Linked DNA regions of Cricetulus griseus. The protein of the gene in region 1 purifies or fractionates together with the protein of each later gene. This does not show direct contact. Links are inferred from orthologs where the notes say so. Each region holds a gene or a part of one and is shown in the gene's direction. Other genes may lie near its edges.

Evidence for each region.
Region 2: the proteins of Kcnq1 (region 1) and Nedd4l purify together in Homo sapiens (affinity purification with western blotting, with the first as the bait; 3 studies listed by BioGRID). This does not show direct contact. The link is inferred for Cricetulus griseus from reciprocal best matches to the Homo sapiens genes KCNQ1 and NEDD4L.

The regions. Positions count from the first base shown.
Region 1 is NC_048596.1:58,191,666-58,207,529, reverse strand, and holds part of Kcnq1 (potassium voltage-gated channel subfamily KQT member 1), read left to right. Parts: intron 1-9,184; coding exon 9,185-9,311; intron 9,312-9,714; coding exon 9,715-9,793; intron 9,794-10,147; coding exon 10,148-10,244; intron 10,245-10,917; coding exon 10,918-11,058; intron 11,059-15,864. UniProt on the Homo sapiens protein: Pore-forming subunit of the voltage-gated potassium (Kv) channel involved in the regulation of cardiomyocyte excitability and important in normal development and functions of myocardium, inner ear, stomach and colon.
Region 2 is NC_048595.1:174,059,789-174,075,518, reverse strand, and holds the end of Nedd4l (E3 ubiquitin-protein ligase NEDD4-like), read left to right. Parts: intron 1-1,212; coding exon 1,213-1,286; intron 1,287-4,001; coding exon 4,002-4,062; intron 4,063-5,640; coding exon 5,641-5,700; intron 5,701-6,921; coding exon 6,922-7,029; intron 7,030-8,465; coding exon 8,466-8,562; intron 8,563-9,087; coding exon 9,088-9,160; intron 9,161-11,341; coding exon 11,342-11,444; 3' UTR 11,445-11,752; downstream 11,753-15,730. UniProt on the Homo sapiens protein: E3 ubiquitin-protein ligase that mediates the polyubiquitination of lysine and cysteine residues on target proteins and is thereby implicated in the regulation of various signaling pathways including autophagy, innate immunity or DNA repair.

The DNA.
Region 1 (15,864 bases):
GCCCAAGTCTCTTCCTGGTCTCCTCACTCTGCCCTCATCTGCCTCCTGTTTAGTTCTAGTCTCTCAGTACGTGATCTGGCTGGTGCAGAAGCTCCTGAGCCCTGACCTGCTGGCACAGTGTGCTCAAGAGATACCTCTTGGGCAAACTGATTGCATTTTTATTGCTTCCTAAGAGCGTTGGACATCCCAGAGGGGCTTGTTAGGAAGTTCGTGGAGACAGTCTGTCACTGTTCAAGCTGGAATGTTCTAAGTCCTGCTGGGTTGGCGTACACCTGTAACATAATAGTGAGGGTTAAAGATGATACCAGGGGCCCTAGGTGGCTGAGCCTCAACCAGAAGGTGGGCACTAGACCAGAAAGAAGGGAGATGTGGACCTCAACACCCCTTGGGGATTTCATAGAGCAGCAGTGTGGATGTAGAACCATAGATCAGGGGAAACAACAAGTCTTCAAGGTGCCCCCTGTGGTTTTGATCCCACACAAGTTTCCCCAGATAGCAGTGGACACTGGGCCTCATGCCACCTGCTGAAGTGGGGTCCATGATGGGAGGGCCAGATGACAGCTGTTGTCCACTTTCAGGGCCTGGCAAGCTGGTAGATGAGAACTTCCATCCCCATGGTGACTGAGCAAGCCTCATGGCCTCTTCTGCCCAGTGTGGAGAATGGCTGCCCAGACAGCTGGCAGTTGGGGCTGGTTCTCAGGGGAAAGTAGCTCTGTGTCTCCTAGAGTTGCCCCCAAATCAGATCTCCCTTAATGGGCATGGACACAGCAGCTGCTAATCTGTGGCCAGTGCCATTGGGAGCTGGCTACTGCAGGAGCCCTGTGTGGGATTCTGCTGCCTACTCCCAGGGCCAGAGCTTTGGCCTCCAGCTCTGTCTTACTGCTTACTAGCTTTCATGGTGGCTGGCCTGAGGAAAAGTCTGCTTCCTGGCTATGTTGTGTTGTGCCCCAGGGCCCCACCAGCTTACTATCACTGTTGGGAGAGGTCCCCTGGTGCAAAAGGGCCCTACACCCCCTCACTGTCTAAGCAAGTTGAACCATCCCAGGCCACCTTAGATTGCCAGGGGCTCAGGTGAGCCAACCATACTTGCTAGCTGCAGTTTAGAGGGTTTTGGCAAAGCTGCCTACCAATAGGAAGTCTACCACATTGAGCGAGTAGACTCAGCTATGGCCTCTGAGGCATCCATGACTCCTGGGATATTTGGGACAAAGTGGGCTGTTATAGATATGGCCACTTCTCCACAGGCTCCTGGTCTATCTACAGCCAGTGGGACCCTGACTCTGTACCCCCTTAGAGTCTCTGAATGTTTTCTGTCACCTGGGACTAGCTGGTGGCCTTTGGGGGCTGATGTTCCTAAGGGTGGGCAGTGAGCATGGCCTGAGGGCTCCAGCTGTGCCCAGCACATGTCACTGGGGGGCCCATGGGTTCTCAGCACAGGCCGGCGGCTGGGAGCAGCTGGCCACAGGCAGGACCTGAACAAAGGGTGCTTTGAGCAGCTTGCATGCCGGCACCAAGCCTCCGGCCAGCTGCCCCTCCCGAGAATGTAAGGCTGGCCCTCTCTATGGCTTATTGGGGCCCATGTAGAGTCAGAACAGCTGGCCCCAAAGTCTTCTGGCTGGCTTTGTGCTGAGAGGGCACTGTCCTCCCACAGGAAGCCCTCTGGCTCAGGAAATGGCCATTTTACAGGTTTCCTAGCTATGAGAGGATGGTAGGACCCAAGCCATAGTTTCCTACAGCACCTCTATGCTGAATGGTGATCTAAGAGGGTCCTAGAGGTATCTAGTACTCTTTGCCCTGCCCAGGGTCTGGAGGGCCTCAGGGAGACCAGCTAGGCCTTTGGCCTCATGGCCTGGCTTTGCTGGCCTTCTTGCCGGGCCCCTACCCATCCAAGCCAACCCTTCATCTGCAGTAGTTAATCTTCCAGTCAGCTTTCAAATTATTCTTTTCTTAAAAAGATAATAAAACAGTAACATCAGAGACACTGAATACTCCTGATAAGCATCTTTGAGTTCCCTTGATTGTTGGGGAAAAGAGAGAGAGAAAGAGAGAGAGAGAGAGAGAGAGAGAGAGAGAGAGAGAGAGAGAGGAAAAAGTCTTTCTTTTGAGGATCTGAGGCAGCTGAGCTGAGCCCATCTGCCCTGCCTTGGTTTTGCTGTGGCCCATAGATGAGTGATTGTGGTAAGCTGGATCCTCACCCTCCCAGAAATGGGTTCACTAGCTGATAAAATGAAACAATAGATAAGATACCTGCAACCTTCAGTGATCTGCCCAAGAGGCTGTGAGCCTTGTGCAGGCCTTTCTCCTGTTCACTACAGCTTTATCCAGATAAAGCACCTCCTTTACTTTAATGTCAGCCCTGCAGGCTCAAATGTGGATAGATCGTTGCTTTGCTGTGGTTACCCCCAAGCACCTGATGCACATGTGTAGGGAGCATTTGTATGTGACATGTGTTCCCAGGCCTGTCAGAAATTCTGTCATGCTGAGCTTTTGTCTCCTATCTCTTGCAGCTCACGTGGGTCCAGTTTTGGGGAAGAGTGTCCATCTGTCAAATGAAAAAACTTCGTTCCCACTGTGAACTTTTCAGAGGCAGTGTATCTGTGCCTGGGTGTCCCTGAGAGCATCCAGAGCTCAAGGGTGCCACTAAGCCCATGCATCAACCTGTTCCATCATTGCAGTAGTGAAATGAGATTAGGGAGAACCCAAGTCCTTGATTGCTTCCTGCCTTTGCTCCACCACTGTCTCCCTTAGCCTCATGATGGAAGCCATGATAAGGATCCATTTGGTACTTTGCAGGCAATAGATCCTGTAAGCCTTGTGACTCCATGCCCTCTTCCCTTCCTGTCTCTTGATTTTATTACATTTATTTCCTTATTGTGCATGTACGTGTGTGTGTGTGTGTGTGTGTGTGTGTGTGTGTGTGTGTGTGTGTGTGTGCATCTGAACATGCATGTGAAGGTTAGACAACTTATAGGAAATCAGTTTTGTTCTTCCATCACGTGGGTCTGGGGATCAAACTAGAGTTAACAGGCTTGATGGCAGCAAGTGCCTTTACTTGCTGAGCCATCTTGCTATCGCTACCTTTCTGAAATATGCAAGACATAAGATCTCTCATCTTGGCTATATTCAAGTGTTCAGCTCAGTAGCCTGAAGCTCATTCAGTGTTGTGCAGCCGTCCCTACCCATACCTACCCATCTTGAGAATTTCTGTCTTCACAGATGAACTGTGGTCCTGCTAAACCCTGACTCCTCAGTCCCTACCACCTTATCCTGCTTTTCATCCCAGTGGTTTTGGCAACTCAAGGGCCTGCAGTTGTACTAGGGGTGGGATCTTTCAGGGTTTGTGCCTCAACAGCGGGTCTATGCTATTCTGTGTTAGAGTACACTTCTTTCTGAAGGAAAAAGATGTGTCCTCTTGGGTCTGGAGCCTTTTTTATTTGTCTTCTTGAGGGATGTGGCCTTTGGCCATTGTGTACCTTGCCAGAGTAAACACAGTGGACAGAGAGCTCCTCAAAGTCCTGCCTATCTCTTGGGTGTTACGATTAAAGTCTCTTTATTCAAGAAGACACCAAGGCAAAACACAGGCCAGAGCTAGGTTATAGAACCCAGCCAGCGTGGCCAGAACAAAAGGGGCCCGGGTCCCCACGTGCAGCCCCTTAAGAAGCTCCCTTAAGTCACCCCGGCTTTCCTTCACCACGCCCTTATGGGCGAGTCCCGGGTCCACTTGGTACCTGTCCCAGGACTATTGGGCGGGGCTAGGGTGTCTCCCTACAATTCCCCTTTTAGTCTAAAAGAGGATTAAAACTTAGTAATGTAAAATATCCAAAACTAACCCGGGACTATTGGGCGGGACTAGGGTGTCTCCCTACACTTGGGTGTCACCCTGAAGCAGAATTGCTGAGCTCTAGGACAGATCTTAAATTTTTTTTAGAGACTTTCTATTTTTATTGATGCATTTCTGTGTGATTCTGGGGATTGAACCCAGGGCCGCATGCACCCAGGCAAGTGCTGTAACAACTATGTATAGTTGTTAGAGCACTACCTTTCCAGTCTAGCAATTGTATTTTTTTTCTGGGCTATTACTTTTTTCCTTTTTTCTTTTTAAGAAGGAGCCTTGTTTAGAGCAGAATTGAGTGGGTGGTAACTCCATGCTTCATGACCTGGGGAACCAATGAACCATGCTCCCAGCATCTTGGATCTTGTGTCTCCCTCGGGTAGCCATGTGCGATAGCCCCGCCTCCTCTTCCACTGCTGTCACTGCCTGTGTTTTGCTAATAGCCATCCTGCAGGCTGCAGGGACACAGCAGTATCTGTTTTGATTTGTATTCCCACAGTTAGTGACATAGAATGTCTATGGCTATGAATAACATGTTTTTCATTGTCTTTTGGTAGCTTTTTGTTTGTTTGTTTGTTTTAGACACAGTCTCATTTAACCTAGGGTAGCTTCAAATTTTCTGCATAACCAGGGATGACCCTGAACTTCTGATCTCCCTGTCTCTGTGTCCCTAGTGCTGGAAGTCCAGTTACATAGTACCACATCTGTTTTATTCAGTGCTGGGAACGGAGCCCAGGGCTTCATGCATGCTAGGCAAGCACACCATCAACTGAGCCTCAGCTTTGTTTTAAAAAATAATTTTAAAGTATGTAGATCACTGCTTTGACATACAGCTTTCAACACTTACTACATGGGAAATAAGCAGACTGTGGCTAGGGTCTGCTTCCTGGTCATGGCAGAGGGCGCACCATGTGTGTGGGGACACACATGTTGGGAAAGGGACGGGCTACAGCATCCTGCAAGGGGCACACTGTTGGGATTGTTCCTTTCAGAGCCTGTCCAAACCTCTTTTGTTGGCACTGGTGTTTGCATGTCACTAGACCACCCCCTCTCATTTCTCTGACAGAGCTTCAGGATGGGTAGCAGGCAATATGGCCTCTGCTGTCTTTCTCCAACTCCTCAATGACCTAGAGGAAACAAGTGCCAGTATGTCAGAGTTGGGGTTCCCTTGCCTCCCCAGGGGTCTTCACAGCCAGCCCACCCACCCGTATAACCATTAGGTCTGCCGTGCACAGATGATCACCAGGATGAGGTCCTGGGGCCCCTGCATGGTCTGGGCTCATCTTCTATTCTGACTCTGGACATTTCCTGTCACAGAGCAGGTAACTGGTTGGTAACTGGCTCTTATGTCTCTATCCTCCATCCTAGGCCACTTTTCAGATATATCTTGGTTTCTGTCTCTAATCCCACAAGACCCTAACTTGTATACATTATTCCTACTCTCAGCTGCTCCACAAACCTCATCTTTCCTCATGTGTTTCCAGTCATGCTCATGTGTCAGTAGTAAACCATCTGAAGGGCAGCTAGCCTCACTTGCCACAGTCTACTCCCAAACCTGAGAGTGATGTTTCACCCTGCCCATGAGATCCTCTGCCTTGGGCCCAAGTTGTCTATTCCTACCACGGGTCCTTGGTCATGGACTTTCTTTCCTCTTGTGAGAAGAGGCATGGTGGTCCTGCCTTGGTGAATCCAAGAAAAGCTGCATGTACTATGCTTGCTGTTTGTCCCTAACACAGGAGTCTCCGCCATGAAGTCATCTGCAGCCAGGATTAAGCCTAGCTCTAGTCCAAGGAACAGTGGTCAGGGTGGGAGGGGCCACTGTGTTCTCTTGCCTTTTGTCTCAGCCCAAGATCGTTGGCCCAAGGACAGCCCTTTCTTTTATGTCTTTGGGACAGAGCTCAGGGCCACACTCCATCAATGTCCCCTGGCCTTGAGTCCTTGATTCTGACAGCATGTGGATTCCTCTGGGAGGCCTTTTAGGGGGTTGGACAATGCTGGGTACTTTCGGCGGGTACTCTTATTGGTGGGGGAGCATATACTGATGTTTAGTTAGCTCTTCCAAAACTCAGGGGTGCTGGGATGGCCTAAGCAGGAGAGGTTAGGAAGCGGGGGTTAGGAGAGTATATCCGACATACCAAGCCTCTGAAGACATGGAAAACAGAAGATGTGATGTGCCTGGGGTCTAGGAAGGAGCTTGGGGTACACTGGGCCATGAGAGCTTTTGGGTAGGTGGTAACCTTTGACATCAAGTGGAGAGTAGGAGTGGGCACAGGGTAGTAGCAGGTATCTAAGTGTTCTGTAGAGATGTTTAAGGCCTCTCATTCAACATTGGGACTGTACTTGGATTACTTGTACAGAACAGGTGAGCATGCTAGGAGAACAACTGGTCTGTTGTAAAGAGGCTGACCTAGCCTCTGCTAACCCTGTTGTGTACTAGAGTGCTTTTGCCTGAATCAAACTTGCCTACAGTGTGTCTCCTACAGACACACACTCCTGCCAAATGCCAACCCCTTACTGGAGTCCCAGTGTGACCTTTGATCCGAGGGCCACCCCTCCTAGCTCCAGCATACATGCAAAGCTGATGGTGTTGGAGACTGTTTTATCTCTGTCCAAACAATGGATCTGGCTGTGTCCCACCCGGGGACAGGGCTGTTTTCCTCAGCCCCTTTCCTACCAGCCACTGAGCCCTACTGATTAACTCAGCCCTGCCTGCCCTGAACACAACTAGCCAGACATTTTCAGGGGATGATGGGGCCCAAGCTCTCTGAAGCCAGACTTCACACTGTGTCCACATGCTGAATAGGATTTGGAGATTTGTGTAAGGGGGTCCTGTCGTTTCACAGGGCCAATCCCCAAATGGGTTTTCCTCCAAGTATTAGGTCAGGGGGCACCTGTAGTCAACAGAAGCCATTGCTAAGGAGGTATTTGAGTAATGACAAACATCTAAATGAGAAAAATGCACTAGATGACCAGCCAGCTGGGTGATGGATGGCCCATGGAGTTGGGACAGAGGCCTGCTGCCTGAGCTAGCACTGTAACTACCTAATGGGGACATTCATGGTCAGAAAAGCTCTCTCCCATAAAGTCACATTCTGTGGTGGGGACTGGGAGTGTGCTTTTCATGTTGGCCAAAGATATATACAGTACTTTGGGCATCAATCCTACAGGCCCATGTTCTCAAGAAACAAAGATGAATCAACATCCTTACAACCGAGCTGTTCACAGATTTGTTTGTTCATTTGCTCATTCATTCATTCATTCATTCATTCATTCATTCCACAGGCTAATAGTGAGTACTGACTGGGGTGAATGAGACTATGGTTCCTCCCTGGTATGCTCAGTCAAACAGGGCCCACCATTGCCAGCACCCTCTTACTCTCCCACACTTAGCCACCAAATATTCCCCCATTCTCAATGAGTCTACGGGCCAAATGCTTTTCTCACATGGAAGGAGGTGTGAATCTCTCCCAGGCCTACCATCAAGTCATTGCTCTTGCCTGAAACACGAGCCAGGTGGTATACTATTTTGTCTTAATTAAGAGCATTTGTGTATGGTGGGCAGTATTCAGCCCCCACTCATGGCGGACTCTCTGGCATGGCACTGGTGGGGGCAGGGCCAGCCAGTGTTACCCGTCAAAGAGGAAGTCCCCTCCAGGGCCAGGCTCCTGAGGGAGGCAGGCAAGGAGCCAGCTGGAATCAGGCCTGAACAGCACAATGCTTTGTGGCTTCGCGGGTTTGTGGCTTTGCACAGTCCCCTAACATATGTGGGAGTGGTTTCACCTCCTCACCCCAGGCCTTCCCCAAGGGCCTCTTACCAATGAATGCTGGCTGGGAGCTGGGGTACAGGTTTGGGATAGGGCTCAAGACCTTGGGGGCCAGAATGGGATGTAATTCCCAGGAAATATGCATTTACATCAAATCCACCAATCACCCACTTGCAATGGGCCACTCACATTTCCAGGCCATAGAGAGACTAAGAGTGAGACCTGAGCTTCCCAGGAATGGTGCAATCAGGAAGGGGATTCTCACTCTGGACAGTCAGCCCCTGTGACAATAGCCCTGTGGCAGGAGCTGGGAAAGAACCCAGACTGGCAGCAGAGTATGGGCACCCCAGGTCAGGCTCCCTGCCATTACTGTCCCAGTGCAAGCCAGCCACTGCTTCACCCTCCAGATATTGTGCATATGACAGGCCTTTGGGTATTTCATCAAAGAGGCAGATAGTGAAGGATAGAGAAACGGAGACTATGTGCCGATCAAAAGCAAGGCCCTACTAGCCTCACCTTGACCTCTCTCATGGTGATTGTCAGGTCTTTAGTGAGTGTTCCTTCAGTTTGTGTCAAGGCTGTGTGAGCAGGAAGCAGCACAGTAGCTCTCACCCAGTACTGTGAGACTGGGCAGGCCTCAAGACTGCTGCTAGGTGAATTCTAAATCGTAGTCAGAGGCTGAGTCAAGTGACAGGGAACCTCTGTCTAGGTGTTGATTTTACTGAGAGAGCTAATGGCTCCACTTTGTTTTTGAATTTGGTTCTCACACCATTCACCTGTATTTATCTGCTGTCTATTTGCCTTTCTCTTCACTTAGTCAACCAACCATCCATCTACCCACTTATTCATCTGCCCATCTCCTCATACACCCACTCTTCCATTCACTCATCTATCAATCCACTCGTGTATCTATTTGTCTATCCACTCACCCATCTACTCATTTATCCATTCACCTTTCTGTCAATCTGTTCATCTACCACGTAGCCAAGAGTATAGCCTGGGTTCCTCTAGCTTATAGACCCCTCCCTTTCAGAGCCCTGTGACTTGAGGTCATATGTGGATACAAGGAGAGCCCTGGTCTATGCTGCCCATGCCCTTTGTTTTATTCCTTCTATCATCTCTGGATGGGTTGGGTTCTTGCACCCAGACCTCAGTAAAGGCCACAGTTGGTGGATATGGTGTCTCTAGAGTGAGCAGATCTATGAGGTGTAAGGGGGGCAATCCTCCAAAGACATATCTTTGAACCCTCACTTTCATGTGCAGGGCTTGGGCTCTGTGGATTCCATGAAGCTGGACAACCTGGACAGCATTGTGTTATCACACTCAGTCATTATCCCCCAACCCTGGTGAGGAGTCTTCCCTAGAGAGTTGTAACTGACCAGTATCCACCATCAGGGTCCCTGACTTAGTGTATTGGCCTTTCCAGGCAGGTGCTACTGATAGGTACCACCTGTTATTACAGATGGATACCTGAGCCTGCTAGTATTGAGTATCCTTCAGCAGAGGTTCCTGGCATGGTAACCTGCTATAGGTGGTCCAGCCTAAGTGGTGGTAGCCTCTGATACAAGTTTACTGCCATCTTCCTCAGGAGATCGTCCTGGTGGTGTTCTTTGGGACAGAGTATGTGGTCCGCCTCTGGTCTGCAGGCTGCCGCAGCAAGTACGTGGGCATCTGGGGCCGGCTGCGCTTTGCTCGGAAGCCCATTTCCATCATTGGTGAGTCCTCCTACCCATCCTACCCCACACTCCTGGGTTCAGAAGGACATCCTTCATTACAGTCATCCCCAGAGTCCCTATGGACTGAGACACTCCTCCACACATTATTCTTGTACAAGACAGGCCCTAAGGCCAGCAGGAGTTATGCCCAGCTCCCCCAGCACTGGAGCCACAGCTTCAATGTGACTCTTTTTGCTCAGCATGGTTTGACAGAATTTAGGCTCTGTCTACTCTGTCTTGGGTAAAGACACACGCATGAATGTCCCCCATCTAGATTGCTCCTGTGCCCTTAATAGTTGGGTCCCATCTTGGTTGAGTGTCACGTCACCTGGAGTGGGTGGTGATACCTCCCCCCGCCAGATTTCTGGATGCCAGAAGTAATGACCAGCTGCCCCTCCCACAGACCTCATCGTGGTTGTAGCCTCTATGGTTGTTCTCTGTGTGGGTTCCAAAGGGCAAGTGTTCGCCACATCGGCTATCAGGTATGTTGGCTCTTCCATTTCTCACTGTGAAACAGGACCTACTACAAAGCTCCCTCCTCTTAAGTAGTAGCCTTTCCATCCCTCTACCTGGTTCTTTCATGGTGGGTGGGGAAACGGCAGGGTGGCCATAGTTCATAGTACTGAGACAGTAGGCAATCCTGGGTTCAAGGCCTGACCCTAGCACTTCCTAGGAGTCAGGGTTCACAGGCACCTGTAAGAAGCAAGATGGCCCCATTACAGAGTGACATATGTGTGTCTCCTCTACCCAGTGGAGGCTTAGTGGGAACAGGAACATAGGCAGCAAATGCTTGTGACCACCATGGTCCTCTCAACCCTTCTCTCCCTGCTTCTTAGGGGCATCCGCTTCCTTCAGATCCTGCGGATGTTGCATGTTGATCGCCAGGGGGGTACCTGGAGGCTTCTGGGATCTGTGGTCTTCATTCACCGTCAGGTGAGTGAGCCTGGTATGGGCAGGACAGAAGCTGGCCAACCTACAACAGGAGGGCTGGAGATTCACAAGGCCGGGATACAAGGTTGATGGTACCTAGCACCTGGACCCCAGCTGAGTGACCCAGGATTCAGCACAAGATATGTGGGTCTGAGGACAGGGTCCAGAACCCCAGAGCCTTCCCAGCCTGAACCTACTCCACATCCACAATGATAGCATACTTGGCCTGCCAATGATGCAGAGCTAATGCCACCTCCCTCAGGCTGGGGACAAAATACCACTGGGCCCTATAGAAAATGTAAGATGAAGAACAGATTTAGGAAGTTCAGAAATCAAGGATGGTTGCAGTGGTGAGGGTCTCAGATAACCTTCCAGAGGGAATTCTTTCTGAAAGAGGTTTCTGGGGACACCTGACTCTCAGTTTGTCCTGTCATGAAAATAGAGGAGGCTTCATGGACCTCAATTCAGCATGAGGCCTGAGACTGCCTCACTGCCAAGTGGTATTATCTGTCACTTTCAGGATTTTTGAAAACTGGGTTACTCTGGAAGGTGATTTCTGCATGTATAGCATGCTGTAGCCAACATAGTATAATCTAACAAATGCTGGAGCTTTCTACCAAGGCACTTCTCTCACCATAGGGTATGTGAGCATGGCTGATGTGTTATCTGTCCCCAGGAGCTGATCACCACCCTGTACATTGGTTTTCTGGGTCTTATCTTCTCCTCCTACTTTGTCTACCTGGCTGAGAAAGATGCAGTGAACGAATCCGGCCGCATCGAGTTTGGCAGCTACGCAGATGCTCTGTGGTGGGGGGTGGTAAGTTGGAATCTTTAGCTGGGGTGTCTCAGGTGGGAAACATATGGATCTGGGCAGCAGGGTTAGGGTATTGGGCTCTACTTGCTCCATTTTGTTTTGCCTCCTCCACTGAGGCTGCTACACAATTTGCACTTTTCACCCACACAATTTGCACTTAAAGCCTACAGTATGGGTCCCTGTGTACTACAGTGAATGTTCCCTGGTCTCAGCCTTGCAATTTGAACATTGTTGTCTTTTACCTTCTGTTTTGGAAGGGAAGGCTGATGGGACAAGGGAGTGCATAGTGGCGCTTGGTACCTCAATTGTGTGGTGATCTTTACCCTGGAGGGATCCTGGGCTCAGAGTTCAGGGAGGGGTCAAATGCATACTTTACATGTCTTTGGTGTCTGTGCTGACCCAGGGAACACACCTGTGCCAGGGATCAAGGCATGAGATGACATAATACCATCATGGTCCTTGGGGGCTGCGAGAAAGAAGCAGGGGTTTCTGTGGATGTGAGGTCTGCACAGTCCTTCACTGCTTCAGGCAGCAATGGTGTGAGTGACAGCCAGGCCCTAAGGTTATGAAGATGGTCATAGGCCTCCTGGGATAGGGCGACTCCAAAACTACTGAGTTACCAGTCTGTGTAGAGCCTGGTGTGTGACAGATGACCTCTCATGCTAGGACTGACTGTCCTAAGGTGTAGTGATATTGTGTGCAGGCTTCTCTCTCTCTCTCTCTCTCTCTCTCTCTCTCTCTCTCTCTCTCTCTCTCCCTCTCTCCCTCCCTCCCTCTCTCCCTCCCTCCCTCCCCCCCCCTCTCTCTCTCTCTCTCTGTGTGTGTGTGTGTGTGTGTTGGGGGTCGGATATGACACTCTCCAGAAGTCAGCAGGCAGAGGAGAGAGAGGTTCTGGTGAGGATAGTGCTGAAGAAATCCAGGTACACTCTTAGAGCACTGGTCCATGACCTTGGAACCATTGCTCAGGGTCTAAAACCCTCTGGCTAAGGCAATTTAAGGTGTTTTCTGACTGTCAGTGTCCTCCAGATTTTGATGGCTTCCACATGGCCTTCAGGTCCTCTGAGAGCTGGCTTTGTCTGCACATTGAATGTTGAGGAGTCCTAAGCTATAGGGAACATGAATACCTGACAGGAGCACACAGTTCAGAGCAGTTGTGGACTCCCCCTGACTCTAATTCTATCTCACCCCCTCAGCTGTAAGGGCAATAGGCTGTCTAGATGTTATACAAAGAGGAACTATCATGCCTGGAGGAGCTGCCAGGGCTGGCGCCCCTGGGTGGGCATGAGGATACCAGAGCCAACTCCATCCTACCAGCACTCTCAGTCTGTTGGCCTTGGAGCTCACTAGGCTTGTGAAAAGGTTGGTTAGATTGTGACGGCTAGAAAGGGACAGCACAGGCTCTGGGAACGTGGTGCAGGGCAAGCAGTCATACATGGTGGTGGTGGCTGCATTGGGCCATGGTTTAAGTGCCCCAAACACCCCAACCAGGAATGACCAGTCTCTGAGGCCTGCTGACTCTCAGAGCTTCTAGATAAAGTGGGGACTGGAAGCTAGGGCAAACACATGTCCCCACAATTCCGTAGTGCCCCCAGGAAGCAGGGCACACAGCAGGATCTCTTAACAGGCTGAGTCAGTCTGTTTTCCAGAAGTTTCCAGCATTCTAAACAACTTAGGGAAGATAAGAACATACTGACAAGCTCCCAGGTTGGGATAGGACCCAAGATTCATCTCTGTCTAACCATTCTGGGGGTCAAAGTCTCCAGATACCCTGGTATGACAGGAATAAGCAGGAATGGTAGGAGAACTCAGTGGCTCAGTTAGGAAGCTTGTCTGTGGTAGGGGGACACGTCCCAGGGATGTAGCTGGGCCTGCATGGGGAGGGGAGCAAGCTACTCCAAGTCAGAACTCTCTGATGGGAGGTGGGCAATGCTGGCTGAGACACAGCAGGAAGTGAGTGGGTGACTGCCCACAGTGTGGCTGTTAAGTGGTGTCCAACCTTAGCAGTGCCCAGGCTTGGTGCTGCCCTGCCTGCATTCCCAGCCTCCTGTAGGAGCTGCTTCCCAGCCCCCTGGCCCCTGGCCCCCCAGTCCTCGGCAGAGAGGCGCCCCCACTCCCACACCTGTGCAAACATCCGCCCGCCGGCCGGGAACACGGCCCCTTTGTGCCCAGCTTGGCACCGGTGCTCCGGCCTACTCTGTCAGCTGCAGCCCGGGCCTCGGCCACAGCGCACCCTGGACTGGCCATTGTTTCCATGAGGCCCTGTGCCCTTGGCTGCCGGGCCCCCCAGCACCCAGCTTAGGGGGCCAACAGCCCCCATTCATTCAGCGGCTGTCTCTGCAGCTGTCTGGTGGGAGCAGCCCAAGGCTGTGTTCCTGGCACCTCTAGGGTAATCAGAACTTGAGTGCTGCAGGACAGGGGCAGCCGGGCTCAGAGTTCTGTAGCCTTGTGCCAATGAACAGTCATCTCCTTTGTCTCCTCTCATTCCTCAAGGGGAGTATGGCCCCACCCTACCCTGCTCCTGGTCTCATCTGTATAAGGGGGGGGCGTGTGAGCACCCACAGGTGAAAGAGTTTTCTGAAGGCCAGACCCCTCTACTATCTGCTGTATCTGCCCCAAGTCAGGCCTCAAGCCCTGTCCCCAATCCGGCTGGATCCCGGGAACTGAACTAGCTTCCCCTAAGGTACAGTGAGATAGGACTGGGCACAGAGGCATGCCTGTATGGGTGGGAACACCTCTCACTTTGTTAGCCTTCAGAGGCTGTGTTGAAGCTGAGGGTCCTTGGCTGGCTAGTGTTTGTTCCCTGAGCAAGTAAACCAGATGAATTAAGGCAGGACAGCCTGTTCATTGCCAGCAGGTGGATTCGGTATGTTCTGTTCTGTAGAGAACCCACAGCTTTGAAGACCAGAGTCTTGAGACTGAGGCATGGGCAGAGCTATGCTCACTTGGAAGGCTCTGGGGGAGGGGGCTTTCATTATTAAGTCTGGTTTCTGTGGCCTGAGCATCCTGTGTTGTTCCTTTATGTTTCACATGGACACATGTCACTGGATTAGAATCCATCCAGGGGACCCAGAAGGAAGGCTATAATTCTGAATCAGAGCATAGTCTCTCTGTGTGTTGCGGGGGGGGGGGTTGTTGAGCTGTGTGGGGGACACACTTAAGTCCAGAATGTAGGTATCCAGTATTTTGTGGGGTTGCCTGTCTTCACAGACCATGGGTTCCCACAGCTGGAAAGCAAAGGGACTGTGTCCCCTTCCTCTGGTGTGAGGTCCCAGAACCCTGCCCTCCCCCCAGTGTAGTGTTCAAGTGTGACTGTGAAGCGTTTGGGGAGCTCCTCAGACTTTTCCTTTACCTCTGGGACAGAATGCATTTGTTTGTATTACGGTTTGAGTGCAGGAAAAGCCGTTTCTGCAAACACAGCTCCTCTGTTTAGTGCCTGGGGGTCTCTGAAAACAAGCGGCTGCTGGGCTCTGTTTACCCCGAGTGGATAAACACAGAACTTCAAGTGAGCAGGCTGGAACCCCACCCTGTATTCAATTCCCCTAAAAAACCCAGTCTGACAGCACTTCATTCCTCACCTGGAGACTCTGGAAAGTTCCCACCTCCCAGACTGGACTGCATCCTGCAGAGTCAGGCCAGAGGGGCCTCAGGGTAAGGAGGTCTCCTAGCCGGTCACATGCAAGCTTTGTAGAACTCTCCATGGGAGGCATCATTCTTCAGGACTATTCTGACTATGGAGACATGAAAGCCAGAGCAGGGGCCAGGGCTTGAAGCTCTCAGCCTTTTCCTCTTCTATGTAGGTTCTATGAGTATCATGCAGCAAAGGTTGAGGGCCTGCTAGGACCCTTGCTAGCTCTCCCCAAGGAGGGATCTTTATAGGATTACTAGGAGTCTATAAAGCATGCCCTTCTTGTGGTTGTTGTTCAGTAGCCAGTGCCTACAAGATGTGTTACATAGATTCAGCAGGTCTGGTGATGGTAGTACACAGGGTTTTAGCTCATGCCATCGAGGAGGTGCCTGTACAAGTTTCAGCGATAGAGTTTCCCAGATATCCTGCAGGAAGCAGACAACATCAGAAAGTAGTGAAACATAGAGGTACAGGGGTGACACAATGTGAGGCCGACATAGAGACCAAGCTGTACTCACATTCCATGTCCACAAACATCAGCTGTGTGACCCTGGGTATGTCAACTAGACTCTTTGGGCACACCTAATCCATAAGTATAAATAGGGGTTAAGTCAGTGAACGGGAAGGAAGCTGACCTCTAGCAATGATTGTGATCAGAGATTCTGGGAAAGACCACCTCCAGACTCAAAAGGAGAGGATTAGGTACCACTAGTTCCAGAAGTCAGGGACTACTAGTTCCGGAAGTCAGGTACCACCACTGGTTCTGGAAGTCAGGTACCCCTAGTTCCAGAAGTCAGGTACCACTAGTTCTGGAAATCAGGTGCCACTGGTTCTGGAAGTCAGAGACCAGAAGTTCAGGAAATCAGGTACCAGTAGTTCCAGAAATCCTTCCAGTCTCTTGGGAGCCTGTTCAGGAGGATGAGGGGGACCATGAACCATAGCTGCCCCACAGGTTCTGTCCCTGGGCCAGTGATCTGTGAACTCAAGTGGGTATGGTTCAGGTGATCTACTATTGGTTGGGTCCTAGAAAGGTCTCCTATGTTCATTGGTCCAGGAGACTTGCAGATCTGGCTGTGGCATACAAGTTCTAGACAGCTCTATAAAATGTCTCATTCCTGAGTTGCTGTTTCTGTGATTACAGGAAAAAACAACTTGACAGAGACAGGCCACCTGGGAGTGAAGAC
Region 2 (15,730 bases), on another chromosome or scaffold:
GTCTAGTCTCTTTCTTGCAAAAACAATTCTAACAATTTAGTTGATTCCTAGTAAAAATAAATTCAGTATAATAAACACACACAAAAAATATGCTCTACATGATAATACCAGCTCAAGAAATATCATGATGAAAAATTTCACCTACATCTTCCCGAATTATTCTGTGCAAGCACACAGAGTTTGCTTGCGTTTGTTTCCAGAGGTAGAATTAGATACACTGCAAATATCAGTAAATATCCTGTGCTGTTTTAATAGCTACAATGAATGTCATCTTTTAGATGTGTAGTCTATTTTGATATTTACTTTATAAACTGACAATCCTGGTGTATATATGACAACCATGGAATATATGAAAACATTTGTATATTGTACAAATCATTCATATAATTTCTAAAAGAAAAACTATTACCAAAAGGAAAAAACAGATATAGATCCCAGAGACTCACATGGTAGGAGAGCTTTCCTCTGGTCTCCTATAAAAAGTAACATATAATCTCTATCTGGCTTCTTAAGCAAGTGTCTTTCTGCCTTTCCTTTCTTCTTTCCTTCTTGGTTTTTGTTGATGATGCTAATGATGTTTGATTAGTTGAGTTTTGTTTTGTTTTTGTTTTTGTTTTTTCGAGACAGGGTTTCTCTGTATAGCTTTGGAGCCTATCCTGGCCTCCTGAGTGCTGGGATTAAAGGCCTGCACCACCAACACCCGGCCTTGTTTTTGTTTTTTTGTTTTTTTTTTAAGTCCCTGTATTTTGCCTCTTGAAAGAAATCCCATGTGTCCTTCTTTATGCAACGTGATTTCTAGTAACAAACAGAATGCTGGAATTTGCACCTCTGGGCTTGATGGTTGATTGGAATTTGGATCTCTGTGGGCTTGACGGATGTTCTCTGGCATTTATTTTTCTTCTTTAACATAATTAATTTCTTGATAAATGAATAGCACATGAAATTGTTGCCCTTTGTTGTTGCTAATGTATGGAGAATAATTAAACTCATAAATAACCATAAAATAATTGCCTTAATGATAATGTCTTTACATGGGTAACATCTTGGAACAGTTAGAAAGATTCATTGGACACACTCCTGTACACAGAGCCCATTGCTGGGATATATTTTTGAATGAACTTTGCTTCTCTTCCTTTTATAGTAAGATGTTATTCAATAATATGTTAAATAACTTCATGTCTTTGATTGTTGTTTTTTCCTCTGTACTTACAGACATACCAAGTGGATCTAAAGCCCAATGGGTCTGAAATAATGGTAACGAATGAAAACAAAAGAGAATATATTGAGTATGTATGCACATATTTGTTACATTTTATTTGTGTGTGTGTGTGTGTGTGTGTGTGCGCGTGCGCACGTGCGCGCGCGTGTGGTATGTGTGTTCATTTGTCTGTGTGCAGGTGTGCATGCTTGGGGTGTAGGTCAGTGTCGTATCTTCCTCAATCACTGCTTATCCTTTTTGTTTTGTTTTGTTTTTTTAATAAACGGGGTCTCTCAATGAGCCTGGAGCTCATTGATTCCACCGGGCAGCCTGGCCAGTGTGTGCCATGGACATGCTGTCTCTACCTCCCTGCAGAAGGGGCACACCACCATGCCTGGCTTTGATTGTTTGTTTGTTTGTTTGTTTGTTTGTTTGTTTCATGAGTGTTGGGAACCAGAAGACAGGTCCAGTTGCTCAGCAAACACTTAAACAGCTGAACTATCTTCCCAGCCCCTGTAACTTTTACCTTTAAGAAATTAAATGACTTATTTGTTTGTTGTCCTTTCCCAGAATTGCTCGTGCATACTACAAATATGAACTTTTGTTTTGTTTTGCTTTTGTTTTTGAGACAGGACAATTTGTTGTGTATGTCTAACTATCCTGGGATTTGCTCTGTAGATGAGACTGGCATCAAACTCACAGACATCCACATACCTCTGTCTCCCCAAGTGCTGGGATTAAAGGCATGTGGCACCACAACTGGCTTCTCCATTTAAATAACAGCAATTTCTTTTTTGCTTGGCCTACTGGGCAATTGAATGTGAGAGAGAAATGTACCTTCTCTCATGGCTTTAGTGAACTACCCCTAGAAGAATGCAGCAAGAAGAAAGAGTATCCATTATAGTAAAGTGGCAAGTGCTCTCCGGGGATGGATGGCTTGTCTGAAATTCAGAATTGCAACCATGGGAATGTTAAGTGCTAATGGAATAGAATTAGGGATTGCCAAAAAGAAAATATCCTATCTCCTGACTTGTCCATACTGGAAGCTGAGGGAAATAGTACAAACGTGGTGAGTTCTGATAGTTGCTGTCTGTCAACCCAATCTCAGACTTATTTAGTAGAACAAATTGTTGAGTCCTGGAAGGCTAGCTCCTGAGGGACCCTAGACATCCAGAAGGCAGAAGGAACTCTCGGTTGAATCCATTACACACAATTCTGGCCTCTTCTGTGATGCACTCTATACTAAGCCTGGGCTCCAGTGAGGGAAATGTAGGCGTGTTTGCTTCACAGGTCCTGGTTTCTGTATGTTTGTGGGTTCAGCCCACACTGAGCTCATTTACAGTCTGCACTCCCTTTTAACAAGATAAATGCCCTCCTCTAACCTCATTTGAAATAGGTCAGTGGCTTGAATTCAGAGGACAGGCTAGGGTCTTCTATTTAGTGTAATGTGAAGAAAAGCCAACTGTCTGTCTAATCAGGAAGAAAAGGAAAGTCTTGTGGGCTTTACCTGGAAGACACTGAAGCCTCAACCCCTGTGGGAGATTTTTAGTTGGTTTGGTTTGGCTTTGGTCACTTTCAGATGAAAGTTCATGGCACTTAATAAATAAGCTAGAAGTAAGGTACTGTGATACGTGTCTGTCATGCTAATTGCACCCTTGTTCTGACCATTGTCAGTTTTATCGGAAGGCACCACTGGCCTTCTTTGTAAAGTACTGGTGTTAAGTGGTTCTTTAAAAAAATTATCCATCCCAGGATAGCTGAGGCCTGAGGATGTGGACATATGTCACATGGGCCAAGGTCAGGCAGGGTCTCAGCTATATAGGACTAAAATCTCCCCACTGTTCACTGACCCCCGTGGTGCCCTGGTACTTGAAGAATACTCCTGGGCAGTGAATTGCGGCCTAGCCCTGTGGTGCCAATACAGCCAAGTGCTGTGTGCTGCAGGCTGCTCCACTCAAGCTATTGTCATGTTGCCACCTTGAAGATGAGGCCAGAATCCGGATTGCTCACACTGAACACTGTCTTGGGGACAGTTTCAGTGACTTTCAAATTCTGTCAGTCATCTCTAAACTTTAGTATTAAAAGGACTAGTGTGAGCCAGATATGGAAGCACACACCTTTAACCTCAGCACTGGGGAGGCAGACCCTATCTCAAACAAATTATTTTTAAATATTAGTGTGTATAATATATGGTATGATGAACTACTCTTAACAAACACACGTTCATACTTACACATACATGTGAATATGTGGATATGTATAATCACATCCTATGACTTTTTTATTAACAGATCTTTAACTTTTTATTTTTATGTGTGTGGGTGTTGTGAATGTGTCTGTGTATCATAATGTGTGGCTGGGTTCCTTGGAGACAAGAAAAGGATGTCAGATCCCCTGGGACTAGACTTACAGACAGTTACCCATGTGTAAACTGCCATGTGGGTGCTGGAAGTCAAACCCGGGTCCTCTGGAAGAGCAGCCAGTGCTCTTAACTGCTGAGCCATCCATCTTTAGCCCACCGTTTCTTCCTTCTTTATCAAACCATGTTTGTGGAGTACTTGCATCCACTGAGGCTGGATGAGGGCCAGCAGACCAGGTACTCAGAGAGAGTGTAGATTTCTCACAAATGTAAAGGAATAGAGGGTCTCTCAGCAGATGTGCTATAGCAAGCCCCACCCCACCTTGCCTTCTATTGTTCAGGATTCTCTGCTTACTCCACCTAAGGAGCAGCAGGCCCAAGGATAAAGAAAGCGTGGCTGGAAGGTGACAGAGGTGACTAAGCATTCCTTTTTCTTTCTCACAGCTTAGTCATCCAGTGGAGATTCGTGAACAGGGTCCAGAAGCAAATGAACGCCTTCTTGGAGGTAAACACTGCTGATGGGGTGAAGGCAGGGACAGCGTGCAGAAGGCCAGCACAGGCAGCTGACCCTCTTGGCCATTGCCTGAGGTGGAAATGTTCCATGATGCTCTACCATCATTTTATAAGTGTTCTCTTGCTTTGCCTTTCTCCATTTTTAGTTTGTTTTGACTGCATTGTCCCTTGCTTGCTTGAGACCAAGTCTATATGGCATACACTGGCCTGGAGCTGATGGTAGTCCTGCCTCAGCTTCCTGGGTGCTAGGATTATACTGCCTGGCTTCCACTTATGTTTCTTTTGAATTTATTCATGTATGTGTGCACACAGGTGAGGATTAGAGGATAACTCTAAAGAGGTGGTTGTCTCTGTGGGACGGATGTGGGTCCCAGGTCCTCAGGCTTGATAACGGCACATTTACTGGCTGAACCAGCTCACTAGCACTTCCACCGTATTTAAACCAAACATTTTTCATACCTGGTCTAGAGCCGTAAACCTGGAACTTCTAGCAGTGCCCAGAGGAGGTGCCTGCTGCTGTGCTTCCAAAATTAGTGCCCTCTCATTCAGACCTTACCCAAGCCAGGCTCATAGACTTTCCCCACAGAGTCCTCACTTCTGTGACACTGAACTTCCCACAGAGTCTCCCCTTTTCATGCTCTGGGTTTTTAATGTTATATCCAAATACCAGCTTTGTCCCTGTGATGGAATCAAGTAAAGATGCTTGTAGCCGCTAAGTCTGATTACCCGAGTTCAAACCCCAAGTGCCACTGGTAGAAGGAGAGAACCAGGTCTTACAGGTTGTCCTCCAACTTCCATGTATGCATGAACACACATAAGAAATAAATTTTGAAGGGAGAAGCCCAAACCCCATGGTATTCATTTCTAGGGCCCTCTTTCATGGAATAGTTCTCAAGCTCAGTGACCTGCACATCATGAAGATGGCCCTCCCCTGAGCAGGAAGTGCAACTATGCCAGGGCTGGGGGACATAAGGTGCAAAGGTGAACTTGGTTATGGCACCTTTTGCATTGTATTTAAGGGAGAAATCCCAGGAAGCAAATTCCCAGCCCCACCCAGCTTTCAGATTCCCAGCCCTGCCCAGCTTTCAGGAGCCACAGCATCTAAAATTTCTTCCTGGGTCACCCCGTAATTAATGACAGCCCAGGACAGAGCCTGGCTTGCTGTTCTGTCAGTTCTCTGTGCTGGCTGATGCTGCTTCCGTCTCTCCTCCACCCATGCCGTCAGCTATTTTTAAATGTGTCTCTTATACGTTTGCAGTCTATACATTTTAGGACACACTGACTCACGAAAGTGTGTCATAAGTTGCCTTTGCAATCCACCTGCCTACAGTGTCCCTAGTATCACAGAGTTGCAAAAAATGTGCAAGTCCTGGAAGCTTCTAGACTGTACTCATTTTCAAGCCCCTATTCATGACTTGGGATTTTGTTGGGATTGTGGTCACCTGACACGGTCCCTGCTACGTGAGCCAGCGGAAGAGCGAGCCTTCTCTGGCTGACCTCTACCTATGAAATTGTTCTTTTTCAAAGAAAAAAAAAAGGTGCTTAAGATGTTTTTATCTTTTCCTTTCAGGGATTTACAGAACTTCTTCCAATCGATTTGATTAAAATTTTTGATGAAAACGAACTGGAGGTTTGTTTGATCAGCATCATATTTTATACATAAAGTAGATGATTTTAAGTATCTCTTTACTTTGCAAATGACATTTTTTGTATGCTCTAGCACATGACATATTGAATGCTCTATTCCAAGGCCTGTCTTCGGGCTAGCCTGGGGAGGCTAGCAATAGTAGCCAAGTGAATTTGTTGCCTGTGACAGGGCAGTTGTAAGCACTTCTAATGAGCTGCTCAGGCCAAGCAGACTGCGTAACCAGGCTGAGCCAGAGCCCTTTGTTGCAGCCCAGTCTCCACCTTGGCAGGTCGTTGTAGGACTTGGCCACACTATAGCTGTACTCCTTTTCCAGAGTCTGTAAAGGAGACGGGACCTTGAACTTGAAGTGGCATGTATTGAATAAGGATTGTAGGAGGCCACTGGGTAGTAGCAGGAAGTGTTTGATGAACGTCCATCTCAGCTTCTCAGCTTCGATGGAGATGAGGGAGAGAGCAACTTGAAAACCAAAAACACATCTCACCTTGGGTTGTGTCAAGGCACAGAAGGAAGGAGGCTGCATCTGTCCACAGCTGGTCTCTCCAAACCCATGTCCAACAAAGCATGTCTCAGAGAATTTAAAGTGGAAGTTTCAAGATGAGTGTCATGAAAATTTTGTAGCGCAGGCACTACAAGTTTATAGAGGCTGTGAGAAGTGAATGACCTCGCAAGATGACTCAGCCAGGCTGGTCCCAGAGGCCTAGGAATCAGTTTTCAGGCTTTGGGAATGGTTTTCTTCCTATCATATTCATTGGAAACTCTTATGATAAGAACAAACTCTAGGCAAGTACTGATTCAGGGGACTAGTTCCTGCCTGGGCACCCACAGGATGCTGGAAGGATGAGGTTGTCACCTGAATTAACCCATCTGGGGGGATAAGTTCTTGCTGTCATGGGGACAAGTAATAGAAAGAATCCTATGTATCTGCTAATGCAGTACAGGGGACTCTACAGCAGTGTGCCTGAGCACATGGGCTGGAAAGATAACCAATGTAGTCCAGCTCTTGCATGCAGGTCAATTGAGAAAACCTCTCTCTCTTTCCCTTCCTCCCTCCCTCCCTCCTTCAATCCATCCCTCTACCCTTCCCTCACCCCCCTTGAACTGCTGGCTTACCTGCTTGTCCAGTTATACACACCAGCACAGAGAAGAGAGAGTTCTCACCTTGCATAGCCCACCTCATTTACATCTGCTCAATTTCCTTACTAGTTGCTGATGTGTGGCCTTGGAGATGTCGACGTTAATGACTGGAGACAGCATTCTATTTACAAGAATGGCTACTGCCCCAATCATCCTGTCATCCAGTGGTTCTGGAAGGTAACTGCAGCACTCTAGGCCCAACCTCTGCTTCAGGCTCTTCCTCCAAATCAGGCCTCTTGGGGGAAATCAGAACGGAAGCTTCTTTGGGAATAGTAATGCCTTCAAGCTGCCTCATCCATGTGTAGAAGTCATTTTCTGGACTTTTCTTTCTTTTTTTTTTTTCTTTTTCAGAGACAGGGTTTCTCTGTGTAGCCTTGGCTGTCCTGGAAATTGCTCTGTAGACCAGGCTGGCCTCAAACTCAGAGATCCATCTGTCTCTGCCTCCCTAGTGCTGGGAGTAAAGGTGTGTACCACCACCACCCAACGTCAACACTTTTTTATTCCAATAACCATTTTGATTTTTATATATTGCAACCTGAGATGCAAATTAAATCTCATTTGCTGTCTTAAGGGCCAATGTTTGTATTCTGTTGGGCTTGGAGAAGGATTGGCAAAGACAGTAAACTAAACATTTTTAAAAAATAAGAGATTATTTACATACAAGAAAAGGGGGAATCAGCCTTGCATGATAGCATACACCTAAACTCCAGGTATCACTCATACGCCCAAGCCAATACAATGTGAATTTGAGGCTGGCCTGAGATGCACAGAAAGTTCTAGGACAGCCTAAACTGCTTATCAAGCAATTTTTTATTTAAGACAGGGTCTCACTGTGTTGTCCTGCCTGGCCTCAAAACAGATTCACCTGCTTCTGCCTCCAAAGTGCTAGAAATAAAGGTGTACACCACTAAAACTGATAGGTGCTGATTTTACAAAAAAAAAAAAATGAGAAGAAATCAACTATCATGTTTTAACTTCTGAAGGTCTGTTATTAATATTTCAAGTATCAGTAAAAATACAGAGAGAAGGAACCAGACTTTTCAAAGACTGTAACTTGGCTTTGATTTTGGATTGTATTATAGAAGATCAAATCATATGTCCAGGAAGGCTGGCTCCATTCCTGCAGTGGTTAGGATCTGGGAGGCACACAGATTGGTCCCAAGGCCCATTTTTACCTGGGGTTTCCTTCTGCTTATCAAGTATCGTTGGGGATCTTTCTGTGTCCATATCACCTGGCTTCCTCTTGTTTTAGATACTTCTGGAAAACCACCTGGTTAGAACTAGCTTCAGGGAGACCCCAGGCCTCAAACCCAGAAACCTGAGCTTGAGGCCCTCCAAAGAGTTTTCTTTGTATATTGTTAATTTTGGCCTGTTGGCAAAAGAAAAAATGGGACCCAGTGATACTCTAATATTAGAGAGGCTGGGCTGTAGCAACCATCAAAAAGGGGGAGGCGGTGCCATTTTTCAGAGTCGATAGTGTAGGTGATTCTATGGCAATGTAAATGGGAATTTGGTTGCCTGCCTAGGTCATGGCAGGGTGTACTGCATGGTGAAATCATGACAGTGTGTGCTGTGTGCTGCCTGGTGATGTCATGACCTTCTGCCTCTGGCAGGCTGTGCTCCTGATGGATGCTGAGAAGCGGATCCGGTTACTACAGTTTGTCACAGGCACCTCCCGAGTACCCATGAATGGATTTGCCGAACTTTATGGTGAGTGTGGCATGTCCCAGGCCCCTCTGTCCTGCTGTGACCTTGGTCACTTTCCAGATCAGTTTAACTACATTAGTTCCATAGAGACCCATGGAGATGAAGAGGCAGGGGTTCAGGTAGTGTTTACACAGACAGCTTGAAGGTTTCTCCTCTTTTATCGTTTTTCTTTCTTTTTCCCCCGCCCCCTTCCCCTGCCCTCGCATAGTTCAAGTTTTGTGTTCAGCTTTTAAACCCAGATTTTTCAGGATCCTTTCTGCTCTGCACTTCAAGGCTCACATTGCATTACTTTCCCCTAAAGCAGAGAGGCTGCAGCAGCTGCATCTGTATCATCACTGCCACGCCTGGTACAGTTCTGTACTGGGGGGAGATAGCAGTGCAGACCTGGGGATTTCCCACAGGACTCACTGGGCAGGCCCCACCCTGATGCTCCTCCCCTCCCCTTTCCACTAAGTCCCCCCAGAACTTTGTTCTCCTGCTTCAAGCCCTGTTTATCTCTGTCTTTTTCTCTCCTCCCACCCCCCTCAGGTTCCAATGGTCCTCAGCTGTTTACAATAGAGCAATGGGGTAGTCCTGAAAAGCTGCCCAGAGCTCACACATGGTAAGTAATGAAATCCCCATGGGGCCTGGAAAAATGGCTCAGTGGTGAAGGACACGCACTTGTTGCTCTTTGAAGAGGACTTGAGTTCAATTCCCAGTCCCTCCATGGCTCATAACCATCTGTAACTCCAGTTCCAGGAGATTTGATTTTCAGTATACACATGGCACACATACATGTAGGCGAAACACTCAGACACATATAAATAAATGAATCCAAGCCTTATAAGCTCAGTTGGATCACTGGGACCCACATGGTGGAGATAACCAACTCCAGCAGATTATCTTCTGACTTCCACATGCGTGCTATGGAATACACACATGCACACAACGATGTTTAAAAGATAAAATTAAGGACAGAATTCCCCCATAGCAACATCAATTTAAAAGCCCTTCTATTCACACAGTCTGCAAGTGACCCATGGGCTGTGACACCATCAGAAGGTCTTCTCTGGCTGGAGAGGGAGGAAGAAGCCTCATTAATTAGCTTAGAAGAGTCACAGGACACCCAGCACAGAGACAGACATGGCTCAGTGGATTTTAAAGCAACATTCAGCAAGCTCTTTTTTTGTCCAAACTCAGTTGGGGGTCCCAGGTTTCTGCACAGATTTTTCCTTCCCTCTTGCTTTGGAGGAAGTGGGGGAGTGCACCCCCGCCTCTCTCAGCACAGTGAGGGTCTACAGCCCACTGAGCTGACATGAGCATCCTCTCTCACCCACAATGCCTGTAAGAGCCTTTGTAAAACCTGGTAGTGGAGGAGCTGGCTGCTGTGGGTGCCCTTCCCTCACCTGAAGAACCATTTGTGATTCCGTGGAACAGCATGGTCTGTCCTGTGTGGTCCTTTTGCCATGCACACTGATTTCCAGACTGAAATTGGAGCAGGCACTGTGCACAGTTCTCTGTCTTTATCCTGGGGGAGGATGTCTGCAGAATTCAAACAGCTTCCTTTCAGGGCTAAAAACCCTTTTTAAATGCTCTTGAACTGGGTAAGACAGAACATTGAGTGAGTTGCCGTAGTCACCATCTTTCGAGCACATGCTCCCAGCCTCTTCTGCATATATTCTGATTTGACCCTCCCTTAGTCCTGTGAACAGCCTTTTTACATTTGAGCAGACAGATTGAGAGAAATGAGATGACCTGGCCAACGTCACAAAGATGGCAGGGACAGGGTTTGAACTTGACCCGTAAACAAGTGGGCTTGATTTCTTGCAGAGGCTATCCATCTATAACACTCTCAAAGGGTGAGCTATACCTGCCCCACCCTAGTGGAAGCCTTCTGAGCTGGCTCTCCCTGAACCTAGATTGTGGCCAACTGGATAGCAGAGGTGGCTTAGCTTTCTGTAACTCAGGTAGCCTGGGCTCTGCTCTAGGATCTGCACCATTCCTAGGAGTGGGACCCATGGTTCCCTGGCTTCACCTCCTTGCATAGGGATACGCATGTGCAGGACACCTATCCTTAACCTGCTTCACACCTACAGAAGAGCCCTTGGCTCAGGCATGCATGATGGACCAGTGATAGTGTGAGAAACAGTCTGTCCTTTCTTCATTCCTGAAGTGTACATGCCTCATGCTCCGTGGGTTTTCTTTTCTTTTTTAAAAAAGGTGGTTTTTTCCTTTTTTAAAAAGGTGGGGTTTTTTAATTATTATAATGTGTGTAGTCTCTCTCTCTCTCTCTCTCTCTCTCTCTCTCTCTCTCTCTCTCTGTGTGTGTGTGTGTGTGTGTGTGTGTGTGTGTGTGTGTGTGTGTGTGTAGCATTTGGTGCACATGCTACTACTAGTGTGGTCAGAAGACAACTCTGATTCTCTCCTTCTGTCTTTACGTGGCTTCTGGGCATTGAACTCAGAAGCCTGCAAGCACCTGCAAGGCTGAGGCATCTCACCAGCCCACATTTTTAGTCTCTCTGTGGTTGTTGGTGATTGTCTTGTCTTTGTGTCTCCATCCTGGCAGCAGAGTAGTCATGGACAGTTGAAAGGCTGTTTTGTTTTCCCCATTGACTGTATAACCTGTTTGGCATAGACACTTTCCTAACTAGAATTTTGCTTTGAGTAATAAAAGTATGGGTTGTTTTTTTTCTTTAATTATTCCCTTGCTCAAACAGCCAATGCCCATTAGCCAAATCAAGAAAGTGCTGCTATGACAAGGAGGAAGGCAGCCACTCACCACCACTATCCATTCCTTTGGCAGCTTTAATCGCCTTGATTTACCTCCATACGAAACCTTTGAAGATTTGCGGGAGAAACTTCTCATGGCCGTGGAGAATGCTCAAGGCTTTGAAGGGGTGGATTAAGGCCCGCTGCATCGGGGGCACTGCCCTTCCAGCAAGTTCTGCGTGCACTTTTGCATTTGCCTAGCAGACTTTTGCAGAGCCGGTGGCAGAAGCAGTTGCCTGGGCTGGCTCTGGAGGCCAGCTTGTCCAGGCCGCACCCAAGTTCCGCCAGGGAACGCAGCCCCAGCTCAAGTGCCGCCCCCTTTCACCACCAATTCTCAACTGGTTGGCGTGTACATTGATTACATTTCAGGAAGACTTGTTCTATTTATGTTGTGCCTCTCCAGGCAAAGCCCTTAATAAATATTTTGCATACTTTCTAATGACAATGAATGGAATTAATCACGATACAGGTATAGTATTACAAAACTCATGTTTACTTTTTAAAATGATTTAGACTGATTTTCAGATTTTATTTCATTACAATTAAAGATGTCTCATGTACTTGGAAAAGTGAGCATATTTTTTTTGTATTTGAATTTCATATCAAGCTTAATGTCGGTGACATTTTTATTTTTGAAGTACTTTGACACTCCCGCCCTCTACTTTATTAAAATTGGAAGACTAATTTTTCTCCAAAAGCCTTCTACAGACCAATACTTGGAAAGAATTTCAAATAGAACATTAAGTTTAACAATTTTTTCCATGCTCAGAATGAAAATAAACTGGATATTACCCTTTTTTGTACAAATTTAGATACTAGGTACAGGCTGGAAGAATTGTAACATAGCATGATATCTTTGTGTTAACTTGAAAGGAATGACACCATTGTTCCTTAGAAGTATTGACGTGTGTCATCACACATTCAAGACAGGGTTGGACTGTCATTTCACATCGGAAACCCTTAACCCTTCCTGTCGCCATGCAGCCTCTTCCTATGATATTTTCTCTTTGGTGTTTATAGAGACATTTCCAATGGCACTGCTTGATTCAAAACTGAGGAAGCCAGAGTCAGTGGTCTTCTGTCTCCGTTGGCTAAACAGTAGCTAATAAACCATTCTTGCTGTAACTGTGGCAATTCCAAAGGCACTTTATGCAGGTCATATCTTTTTTGGGTTTTTTTTTTCATTTTTTTCTCATAAACATTACATGTGATTGTTTCTTCCTCCCTGCACACATCTGTCTGGTGCAGTATCTATCCATTGTGAATTAGGCTGCTAGTAAATCCAGATGTTATGCTGAGCCTCCACACCAATCTTCTCCAACTGTTTTGTAATTTCTACTCGACAAATCATATTTACTTACTATACACTTAGCCGAGTCATGTGGCATAATGACCTATTTTGCATGCTTCGATACTGTGTACTGCCCCCCCCCCCAGGTCATGTCTATTGTGTGCTAGTTTAAAAGTGAGCTAGAAGACCCGGTGGGTTCCATTGAGCTCAAGCTGTCTGGTTGGCAATGGTGGAGGAATGTAAGTGTCTACAGTTTGTAAAGTCTCTGTTGCAGAATTCTGTTGTATTCTGAGAAGATGCCTGAGGCAGTGTGGGAGTTCAGCACCCCTGCTGTCCCTTTAACTTGCGATGTCCTAGACCCTGTCCTGGAAGTTACGGGACAATGGGGTATTTTGATCTCTTGCCAGTTGTGAATATGACAAAAAAGACTGTGATCTCTGCTATGTAAGAAGGACCTTTGATGTAAGAAATTACTCGTGTTTACACAGCTGTGGGTGCCATGAAGAAGCCATGGGCTTGATGGGTGAAGCCCCAGAGGGTAGAATCCTACCAAGCTGAGCTTTGGCTTCTTTTCCACATGCTATCGAGTAATTATAAAAACAATTAACAATCTCTATTCTTGCCTTCTGGTGAGATATTTTTTTCTCCTGTGGTTAACAGATGTTGGGGGCAGGGGTCTTTTTCTTTTTTTTAATAACCTTCTGTCTCCAGAACCATCTCTCTGTTGCAGAGTGTGCCAAAGCCTGAGCTGCAAGGTGTATTTTGATTGAAGAAGAAACCAAAATCTGTTCTAAGAACTGGGGTTCTGTAACTCTGTAGGCTCTAGATTGAACCACATTATTCACTAAATACAAAGTATTCATTTCTGCATTTTAAAGAAATGCAAAAAGGGCCAGCAAGATGGCTCAGTGAGTCAGGGTGCTTGTCACCAAGCCTGACAGCCTGAATTCAATCCCTGGGACCCACCTAATGGAAAGAGAGAACTGACTCCTGCAAGTTGTCCTATGATCTAACCCATAAATGATTTTTTTAAATTAAAAATATGAAAAGAAAGACTTAATTCTGATCATTTCTAAGCCAAGAGCAGAGAAGACCTATTGAAGTACACCCCTGGGAGTACTTGAAAGGCAGGCCATTGTGGATAACACTTCAGTCCATTGGTCCATAATTCAGATTTTAACAGTTGTTACTGGATTAGAGAGCTGGCCTGTTAAAAAGTAAAAACACAGTTCCCTGTCCCTCGGTTTGTGAAGTTTCACTTGTTGCCTAAAATGCCTGATGTCTTGTCTCCAGATTGTGATGCCCTCTCCTGGTCATCTTTGTATGATAATTGTAAATGACAATGGAGAGTGGGGCCTCAGCACTGCAGCCAGCTGCTGCAGACAATAGTTAGGGATCATTTACCTTGAGGCTGCAGAGTGGGTTCCAGGACTCTTACTTCGCTGTAGAAGAACTTTGAGCATCATTTTGTCTGTCTTGTGTTTCTCTCCCTGCCCCTTTTAGTCCATGGCAAGCCTGGATTAGACTACTGACTCCATAACAGGTAGTGGTAGGCATTGGTCTATCCAGGTGTCTTCAGTGTGTTTTCCTTGTCTGTCTGAAACACCAGTCTCTACTTTTCTGTGGCCGGTCAGCTAGTGGATCACAAGAACCAGAGATGTGTATTTATTTTTGTTTCCAGGGACGATATAGCTTAGTGGCAGAGTGTTTGCCTAGCATGTCCTTAGCAGTAGATTTAATCCCCGTTGCTGGGGGCAGGGAGGGGGGTGGATAAGATAAAGAATTCTGTTTCCAAGGACCTTAAGCAGGAGACAGCAGTGAATCCTGACATTCAGGTCAACAGGGATTTAAAGTAACTTGTCACACATCTTTTCCCCCATAAAGACTCAGTGGAAGATTTATGGAAGTGGGTTGCAAAATAATTTAACCACTTGTGCATCTCACATGACCTGTTGCTCATGGTCTCGCCAGATTCCAGTTTGTTCTGAGAGTCAGGCTCATGTGCAGCACCTTCCACCCAATGTGTTCTCTATTTTCCTGATATTCTTGCATCTCACCTCTGAAATTTGAAAGTCTACAAAGAAAAGCCTAGGTTGCTCAGCTACCCAGCCCCTCCCTACTGGGCTAGCTATTTTTCTGTCTGAGGCTCTGTATCTCAGTAACAGAAGGGAGATGCTATTGGTTGTCATTTGCTTCCTGGCCAGTAGGGGTGCTGCTGTGCAAGGTCACTGCCTGCCCTGCTCCCTGTCTGGCTCCCAGAAGACCACATGCTACCTCTGTCTCAAGCATTGGAGAATATCCTAAGTCAAGTCAAAACTGCCAATTTCAGGACTAGGATATGTTAAAAATAAAAAAACCTTATGAACTCCACTTTGTACCTTAGATTTTAAAACTGGGTAGAAATGTGATATACATTGGACCACTTTTTAAATTTATATAAGCCTTAATGAACAGTGTATACACATCTGTGTATGCACTCCATCCCAGTGTTTTCAGTGTGCCAGAGAAAGAGCCGTAGTGTTAGGACATGAGCCTGTCTAGGGTTTTCTAAGAAAGGGGTAACTTTCTGTCTGATATGAAATCTTCCTAGAAAACTTATCATTCAGCATCTACCCTCTATTGAAATGTTAACCCTCCCAAGCACGTGTTTGAAGCAACATGTCTCTTTACTGGTTTTGTATTTGTAAGGAGCAACTGTAGGAATCTAAGGGCGTCTGTTGGTGTGTGACCTCTTATGTCCTAAATTCCCTCCACTGTGTCTCAGTGTATTCAAAGACTTTGCTGTGACCATAGCCTGTGTTGAGAGATGTCTGTTCTTGTGTAAGCCAGTCTACACCTCATACTCAGACTGCTTTTTACCTACGTTGTCACAGTTTCCCTCATGTTGACTCTGTGACCGGTTCTTCCTTTTGCTACCCCACATGTAACATATATGCACATATATGTATGTATGCTGTCCAAATATATTTGTATATATTTGTATAGCATTTTTCACCTTAGAAGTAATCTGGATTCAAAAGGGAATGAGAGCTAAGTCCCGTCTACAGTTTTCTTCAAGTCATGCCCTGAAAATTCTGACCCTCGGCGCCCAGAGAACCCTAGAAAGGTATTAGCTTGCTATCATTTCTTAAT